2 linked regions of the Xenopus tropicalis genome follow. Each later gene encodes a partner of the first gene's protein in a complex. Links are inferred from orthologs where the notes say so. Each region holds a gene or a part of one and is shown on either strand. Other genes may lie near its edges. The genes, in order: tacr1 and tac1.

Evidence for each region.
Region 2: the proteins of tacr1 (region 1) and tac1 are in contact, whole or in part, in a cryo-EM structure (PDB 7P02), measured with the Homo sapiens proteins. The link is inferred for Xenopus tropicalis from reciprocal best matches to the Homo sapiens genes TACR1 and TAC1. Residues at the interface, in NP_001049.1 of Homo sapiens: Gln24, Phe25, Asn85, Asn89, Tyr92, Ala93, Asn96, Trp98, His108, Asn109, Ile113, Gln165, Met174, Arg177, Val179, Cys180, Met181, Ile182, His197, Val200, Phe264, Phe267, Phe268, Tyr278, Leu279, Ile283, Gln284, Tyr287, Met291; in NP_003173.1 of Homo sapiens: Lys60, Pro61, Gln62, Gln63, Phe64, Phe65, Gly66, Leu67, Met68.

Annotation. Positions count from the first base shown.
Region 1 is NC_030679.2:121,668,118-121,671,942, forward strand, and holds part of tacr1 (substance-P receptor), read left to right. Parts: intron 1-2,649; coding exon 2,650-2,844; intron 2,845-3,825. UniProt on the Homo sapiens protein: This is a receptor for the tachykinin neuropeptide substance P. It is probably associated with G proteins that activate a phosphatidylinositol-calcium second messenger system.
Region 2 is NC_030682.2:34,191,919-34,196,525, reverse strand, and holds the start of tac1 (protachykinin-1), read left to right. Parts: upstream 1-1,556; 5' UTR 1,557-1,692; intron 1,693-1,891; 5' UTR 1,892-2,027; coding exon 2,028-2,138; intron 2,139-4,607. UniProt on the Homo sapiens protein: Tachykinins are active peptides which excite neurons, evoke behavioral responses, are potent vasodilators and secretagogues, and contract (directly or indirectly) many smooth muscles.

The sequences.
Region 1 (3,825 bases):
TTCAACTCCTCTTCTCTTAAAAGGTCAATATGCCATGTTTATAGGTAGCGTCTTTCATGTTTCTTTCTAAAAGGGAATTTCATGTCCTACAAAGTGTTGGGCTAAAATAAAGACTAATCATGATACAGGTATTATGACATTTAGAGAAAAATGGAAGAGCTAATTTAAAGGAGCATTTTCAGTGAGACAATAGCATCACCAGCTGTTTCCCTTGGCTCACAGCAGGCAGGTATGTGGCCTGTTTAGCACTTTCATAGGACCATGCAGAATGGAAGCTGGAATGCAGTGAGTCTGATTAAAGGGACTGGGAGAAACCTTATTTTCCCAGATGTAAAGATGTAACCTGTGCCAAAAGTATTCTTTTTGTATTACTGAGGACACAAAAGATGCTGGGAGTTATTCTATTGTAGAAGTTTAAGATACAAATTACATCAGGTTTAATGGAATTCTGTGCCATATTGTGCTAATTAAAATAGCTTGGGGAATGGGTATAGCAATAGGCAGCTATATCATTTTAGGATAACTGCTACATCTGGACTAATACTCAGCTCAGAAGAATTATGAAACCATTCCTTTAATACTATGGTGTGTAAATTCTATTGCATATAGTTACCAGCCTACAGTGTATATGATGTTAGCCTTTTATTTATTAGTATATAGTTGCTTTATTTGTTGTTGTTAGTAATAAGTAAAGGTGGCCATACACAGGGAGATTTAAGTTGCCGATTCGCCAACTTATTTGTCTGTATATGGGTCCCTCCGACTGGCCTACCCAGCCAATACCTGTATCTGGCTGAATATCACCCAGATGTCCATTGGGCAGGTTTGCCTGATTGACATCTGGTTTGCCCATCAGATTGAGGATTTCATCTGCATGTTGATGTGGCCCTTCATCCAACAGCCTGCATATCAATTAAGATCCTACCATTGGTCTGAGGGTCAAATGATTGGATCAGCTTGGTATTGCCCACCCCAAGGTAGGCATACAGGTGTAAAATCTGCTCATTTGGCAACTTTGCTGGATCTTCATGTGTATGACCAGCTTTAGTTCTGTGCATTTTCTAACTTTTTTTAAAAATGATAGACTAAAAAATATTTGTCTCAAGCCATAATCAATGGTCATGTAATATAAGTCAGCACGACCACCTTAAATGTTTCATCTTACATGAGCAATATAAACAGCCTAATAGGCTACACAATGAGTCTACATTGCGTGCCAGGTACATTACAAGTCATTGGTTGCATAGTTAACTGGGGTTGAAAAAAGACAAAAGTCTATACAGACCTATCAATGCACTGTAAAGTGTCGGAAACACAATGAAACAGATGAGCGATTGACACCAGCAATATGCACCTGGCCCTTAGGCAGATCAGTTGTGTTGACTCTGTGTATTATGTGAACTGTGTCGTGCAAGTTTTACCAAGAAAGTGGGATTCTGAGAAAATCAAATAAAACTGATTTAGCCTCTGTGTATCAGTTTGTGCCACAATACATCCCAGTGAATTTTCACGTTTTATTACTAAATAAATGTTGCATTCAGACACTAATCTTTCAGTCTTTCTCCAGCTCATTCTTTCACAGGAAAGATTCTGTGCAGCTAAACTTCACCCTAAGAAATAATTCCAATTTCTTTTCTATTGTGTTTATTAAGCAAAATTAACTTCACATACTATATAAATGATATATATCTTGTTTCCTTCAGTCTTGGGAACATACAATCACAGCAAGCAGGCAGCTGCCATTTTGTGGGCACTGTTATTAAGGCAAGCTTTGTATCACCCCAGAATCTTGTATATGTGCCAGAATGGGGGACCTGATGCCCATGTCCATGCACTGGTTACATAATTACATGGTGAGGAGGGAGGGGGAATGTGAGTGCTGAATGGAAAGTTTAAGTAATTGTCTGCCCCGCCTCTGTGCCTAAGGCTTAGAGGCGGGGCAGGCAGTATATGATTGACAGCTGTGATTTTTAAATGCATTTATAATGGGTTTGAATGTGTTAATATAAAAATTAATTGTGGTTTCATGTTTAATTTGAAAAGGACTTTTATTATACAGCTTTTCATGTCTGGGTGACAGGTCCACTTTAAGCATTAAGGCTCATTATGGCTAAAGCCAGGGCATAGGATCTTCTTTCCTTGGCTTCTAAGGCCACACCTTAACACTTGGACCCACTGGGCATGAAAAAAGAAAGCCCTCCCTGAACAAATAAATATAGAGAATCAGTAGAACCTATCCTCTATCTCAGTGCCATCCAACTTACTTACTAGAATGGCCCCATTATTTCTCATCATCATATTTGACAGCTGGACCCAGTTAAAATGGTGATGACATTACAGTGAAGACTATGGAGCCTTTCAGCATACTGGGGGCCATAAAAACCCTCCAGGGGAGCCTACAGTTGGTCAGTCCTGCTGTAGCTCTGTGATTTCTGTCACATGAATTATACATGCTTATTATAACAAATAATGGCCCCCCGTTGTAAAAGGACATGGGTGAGGAGAAGCGTGAGGGACCTGGAGATTACAGTGTAGACCAAGGACGGAGCTCTGCAGAATGCTCTGTTTATTTGGCAAATTAACTGTATCAATGCTGGAAGTGTTGTTAAAGTGGATATCAAATCAGTTTCTCTTTTTGCTCCTCAACAGGTATATGGCCATCATCCATCCACTGAAGCCAAGGTTGTCGGCCACAGCCACTAGGATAGTGATTGCTGTCATCTGGGGTTTTGCCTTTGCATTAGCCTTTCCTCAGGGATACTTCGCCACTGTTGAACCTACACCGGATAGAGTTGTTTGCTACATGGAGTGGCCGGAATCTGAGAACAGGAAGTTTGAGAAAGTGTGAGTATATCATTTATATGCGTATTGTCCTCTATTTCCGCTCTAAATCTGGAAAACTAACCGGTTGCATATGTAAATGGATTATATAACCATTTATGCATTGAACAAAAATGTGTAATTTTAATATTACTGCCAGGGACACCCATGGAGGCAAAAAAGCCATCTTTTTTTTTTTATTACAGAAATGTCTTTATACCACATGTCCCCATTAAGTCCATATGTGGTGCCATAAGTGTTTAGAGGTTATATCCTCCTACTCTCTTGTTGCAGAAGGATTTAATCCAAATCACCACCTCTATCCCTGGGTATTTTTCTTTTGTGTCTCTTGAGACCAGGTTTTTTTCCCGGTGCCCAGCCGGCCCAGTCCGACCCTGTATAAATTCTCCAAGTTTTAATGCCACCTCACTTCACCAACTCTTTGTATTGTGTATTAAATGTACTAATGACCCTATTAAAATCTTTATCAAGTGCTGAGGTTTTGATTTCCCTTTAAATATTTACTGAAAATTATAACTTGTAAAAGGGATTTTAGTTGTCTGGTAAGCCAGGTGCAGAATTTTAGTTCCATCCCCTCACTCTTTGAATCCAAGGACAAGTTTCTGTGCTTCTTGTTTAAAACATTCATCATTGCATTAGTTCCATGTAAGTATACGTTACTGGCTGAGATGAATGGTGCAAGGTGCAGACAGCAACGTCGGGGATACAAGCCATGCCTGTCCTTACCTTCTGCCACCGTATGTCACCAACACAGTTCTGGCTATATCAGTCAGCACTATATTCATGGGGTCAGCGACACATCTCTGTTTATGCTCCGAAACAGAGGACAGAGCATTTGTAAAGAACAAAAGAGTGTGCAAAGTACAAAAATCACAAATTGCAGCCATTAATTAACCAGCTCTTCTTTCCTGAGCCCCCTTCTGCATGTCTTATTTCTTTCCATCCTGTAATGGCCTCTGAAGTCTCCCGGCTTCTCTCGTCATC
Region 2 (4,607 bases), on another chromosome or scaffold:
TGCAACCGATTGCATTCATTTTAATGCATTGCGTTAATTCTGGCTCAGAAATAATACTAACGCATGATTCACAAACACTTAGACACGCTAAATATCGCATTTGCGTATGCAAAAATTAACACCTACTTGGGGCAGGCGGTAATTATAGAAAAGTACAGTTCATGAGCTTTTGGCAATATGGACTTTGCAGTGGGATTTATTCAAGTCTGTGTTGGCCCTAGAGTGATGCAGCCGCCAGTTTGCAGGGAAATGGTCATTTTCAGAACAGTAGTTTTCCGTAAGTAATGGCGTGTACTGCTAATATGGCGTGCACACACGGCAACAGTTTGTGCGCGCTGCGTTAATTAGCGCGTGTTGCGTCAAATACCGCACGAAAATAGTCTTTGCGACATAAATACCGCAAACAGCATTGCGTCTAAATTAACGCAAGTATCCTTTTAGTGAAGACGCGGAAAATAAGATGCGATAAAATTTTTAACGCATGCTATAAATAGCGCTCATTTTAACACACCTTAGTGAATCAACCCTTATATGTGTTAAATAACATTATAGAATAAGCAGTATATTAGTTAACTAAAGAGAAATATTTTATTTTTCAGATTTCTTTTGGCTTCTCATTATCTTCATCTTTGTTCCTCGCCCCCAAGTGTCCATACATAACTTTCCTCTTTCTCCCCACAAGGCAGGTCTGTGTTTTTGGCATGAAATTGGCAGGATTACAAGCCAAGACCAGACACTTTTAGATTGTAAGCTCTAATGAACAGGGCTGTCTTTAACTCTTGTATCAATCAGTATTTATATACAATATGTATATAAGATGAGTACCTTTCTATTGTGCAGCGCTGTGAAATATGTTGATGCTATATAAATACATAATAATAACTTCTGAAAGCCTCATTTTAAGGTAATTTCAAGAGTCTTTTGAATTCTGCTGCAAGACCTATACATTTTTCTCCCCAGCTTTTTCTATAGCCACTGTAATCTAAACTAGTTATTCCCATTTTTGCAGTAGGAAAACACTATAGAAAATCTACCACCTGAGTAGTGGGAATCAGTAGTCTAGATTCTTTAGCTGTAGGGGTCTTCTTCATGCCAAATGGACCCTGATAAATCATCCCCATTGCTCTATTTCCATACTAAATATATGTATAACTGCCTCCTGAGTTTAGCCGCTAGATACTACAACTTCATTGAAATAAAAATTAGAGATAAAGATTTATATGATTCATTGTTGGTGACAAAGGGCTCCCACGTTTTATTTCTATCGGCAGAGAATAAAGGAATTTATCAGTTTGGAGTGCAAAGATTTTCGTAAATGACGTCACGTCTCATAAATTGCGTGGAGTCATTGCCATCAGCGGGTCACCTCCAGGGGAAGTGTCATTCTATGTTTCAGAGGAAAAAAAAGGGAGGTAGGATTAAAGAACAAGTAGGGAAGCCTCTAAATTCTGTAATGGAATATTGATAGGAAATACTGCTGGGGGAATATACGTCATATTGTTTCCCCCTGCTTCATATGGTAAATAGACTGAGTGCAGTAATTAGATTTAGGAACACGAAGCTCCTCTGGACCTGCCCATCTCCACTTATATATAGTGGAGAGCTCTCCAGAGTGTATTCAGATAGACACTGTATTCACAGGCACACGAGCCTGGGTGGGTGACAGAAGAACAGCCTCTTCTACTGAGTACAGTAAGTGCATTTAGGACTCTGACATTGCTTGATCCCAGCAAAGAATTTCTAGTAAGATGTGGGAAAGACTGAATGAAACTTACCTCCCTTATTTTATTTACACTAATCCATGAAAGTAGATATGTATTGTTTTCTTCTGTTATGTCTGTTACTTTGCATTAATAGAAAGTAATTCTCTCCTCTTTTCTCTCTGTTGCAGAAATACAGATCCACCCAGCTGAGCTGCTGCTAAATATTCTTACTGATCCTTCTGCACTTAAGTGTCTTCTCCGCACCTGCCTCCGACACCGTGCAGGGCAATTTACTGCAGCCTCCTACAGTGAATACAGGGTGCCATGAAAATCCTTGTAGCATTTGCTGTCGTTCTTCTGGTTTCAGCACAAGTGTTTGCGGCAGAAATTGGATTTAATGAAGACAGTGACTGGCCTTACAGCGACCAAATTCAGGTGGGATACTCACTAAATAATGCTAAATTCTGAAATATGAAATACTTTTGACATCTGTTTTTGCAGTCACAAATATACACCTATAGATTTAAACACTATAGGCAGAATATGTATACAATGTGTATATGTGTAGAGCAAACTTGTACCATCAACAATGTAAAGTCTACCTGTAAACTCCATGAATTGCATGGATAAAAGTGACAGCATCAGAACATGGCACGAATGTGGCTGCTGCCTTTTCCATACTTTGTCTATATTGAACTTACATTGTTCTAAGTTAGAAGGAAAGTGAGAGCAGGCATTATTTACATGTAAACAGTTTTACTATTACAGAACAAAACATACATGAAATACATCCACCAAGATATAATGGTTATTATATTGAATAACGTGTTTATTTCCTATCCTTCCCCTTTTCCTGCAATATGTAATTGATCAAAGAAACTATACCAACAATGAAATCATAAGGATATTAATAGTATTGAAACGTAAATGCATGGTCCTAATGTTTCAGCTTAAAATAACAGAATTTGCTAAATCTACCAAACTTGATATAACTGGGGTAGTAGAGTGAGAGCTGGGCAGTCAAGTACTGATCTTTTGTGTTTCTGAGCAATATATTGGTACAGGTGTGGGATCCGTTATCCGGAAACCTGTTAACCAGAAAGATCTGAAATACGGGAAGGCCATCTCCTATAGACTCCATATTAATCATATAATTAAAATTTTGATGATGATTTCCTTTTTCTCAGTAATAATAAAACAGTACCTTGTACTTAATCCTAATTAAGATAAAGTATAATGAATCCTTACTAAAGGCAACATAATCCTACTGAATTTATTTAGTTTTTAAATGATTTTTAGAAGACTCGAGTATTGAGATCCAAATTACGGAAGGACCTATTCGGGATACCCCAGATCCCCAGCATTCTGGATAACAGGTCCCATAACTGTAAAAATATGTTAAATAATTTTATACTGATTAGTATACAATTTCCTGTCAGAGAAAACAGTGACTATCTCCTATGTCAAAAAGAGAAAAAATAAATATATTTGCTGTACACATTTGTAATAACTAAAACTTCTCTGAGCCATGTGTACAAGTAACTTGCAAAAGTGGCAAAGGCTGTAAATTATTAATGCCAGGGGAGTCCCAGATTGCTGCTGTTATTGCCTGGTGCAAATGAACAATGGTTTTTCCCAGGTGGCTGAGTGTTGAAATGAGTTTTCATAATGATCTCTGGGTTAAGGTAATTGCAGAGTGTTTTCCTCTCCTGCTCTGGATAATTGGGGCAATGATGAACTGCTTTCCTCTAGTATGCCTTTAGCCTGTTAAGACCATATTTTGGGAAATCTGAGAATATCACTGAAGTAGCATCGCTATTTCCCTGTTTCCCAGGTTGTATAAATATTTCAGCACAGGGGGAGACTTGAACTCGCTGCATTTGCTTTTGACTTGCTCCTTTGGTGGTTAACTCCCCGTGGGGCATGTTTATGAATGTGCGCCTTAGCGCATCTGAGATCTCTTAACCCAGTCCTGATTTATATGCCATAAATCAGCATCAGGCATCAGGTAGGTCTCCAGGGCGCTGCAATAAAAACTGCTCTGGTGTCCTGGGGATTCAAAATCATCTTATGGGAGATATAAAACTCAGCATTGTGCCATTAGTTTTATTAACAGCTACTGCCAAACCCATGTCAGAAAACCCAATGCAGTCAGTAGAAGTAGCAACATTTGCTTAGGAAAGTGAAAATCAATCATATAGAACAGATTTACTAGTATCTCTTTAAGCCTGAGAATGCTCTTACTATAGAAATCAGCAATAAATACTATATACTGTATGTACAGCACAACCAGCACTGAGTGTTTATTTTATTTATCCATTAATAGTAGAATTTAGCCTCATTTTTCTGAAATCTAGTCAGGATTTAAATTTTTCTTACCTTTTAGATGCTTTCACGCACCTTTATTAAAGCATAGGGTTTTAAAAAAATAAACCCTATCATAACTCCCCCCAATACACATTTAATGCTCATGTTAAGTAGTTAAAGGCAAAATATTGTCTATTTATATAAAGGATCTTATTTTTCACTGTCCATATACTTATATGAATACATGTATTTATGCCATATTGTTTGCTATCCGGAGGTAATGCTGAACACAGTCCATAGATTTCATGCACAGTGCCCTTGTTTGACCTCAGTTTTAACAAGCTATAAGACATTACAGCAGCACCTCTTTGCGACTGGGTTCTTAAAATGAAAAGTTACAATAAATACAATATTTACAAACTGTCAGTCTGCCCCGCTTCCCTCGAGGAGCCCTAAGCAATGGGTGGCATGTGTTCAGCTAGGTGGAATTAGGGGCTATATATTTTCCTGACTTTTATAACATTAGCACTGTTAAAAATAAACTGATGCTTGCCAAAAATTCTGAATTTGAGCACCTAAAGTCTCAAATTTGTTCTT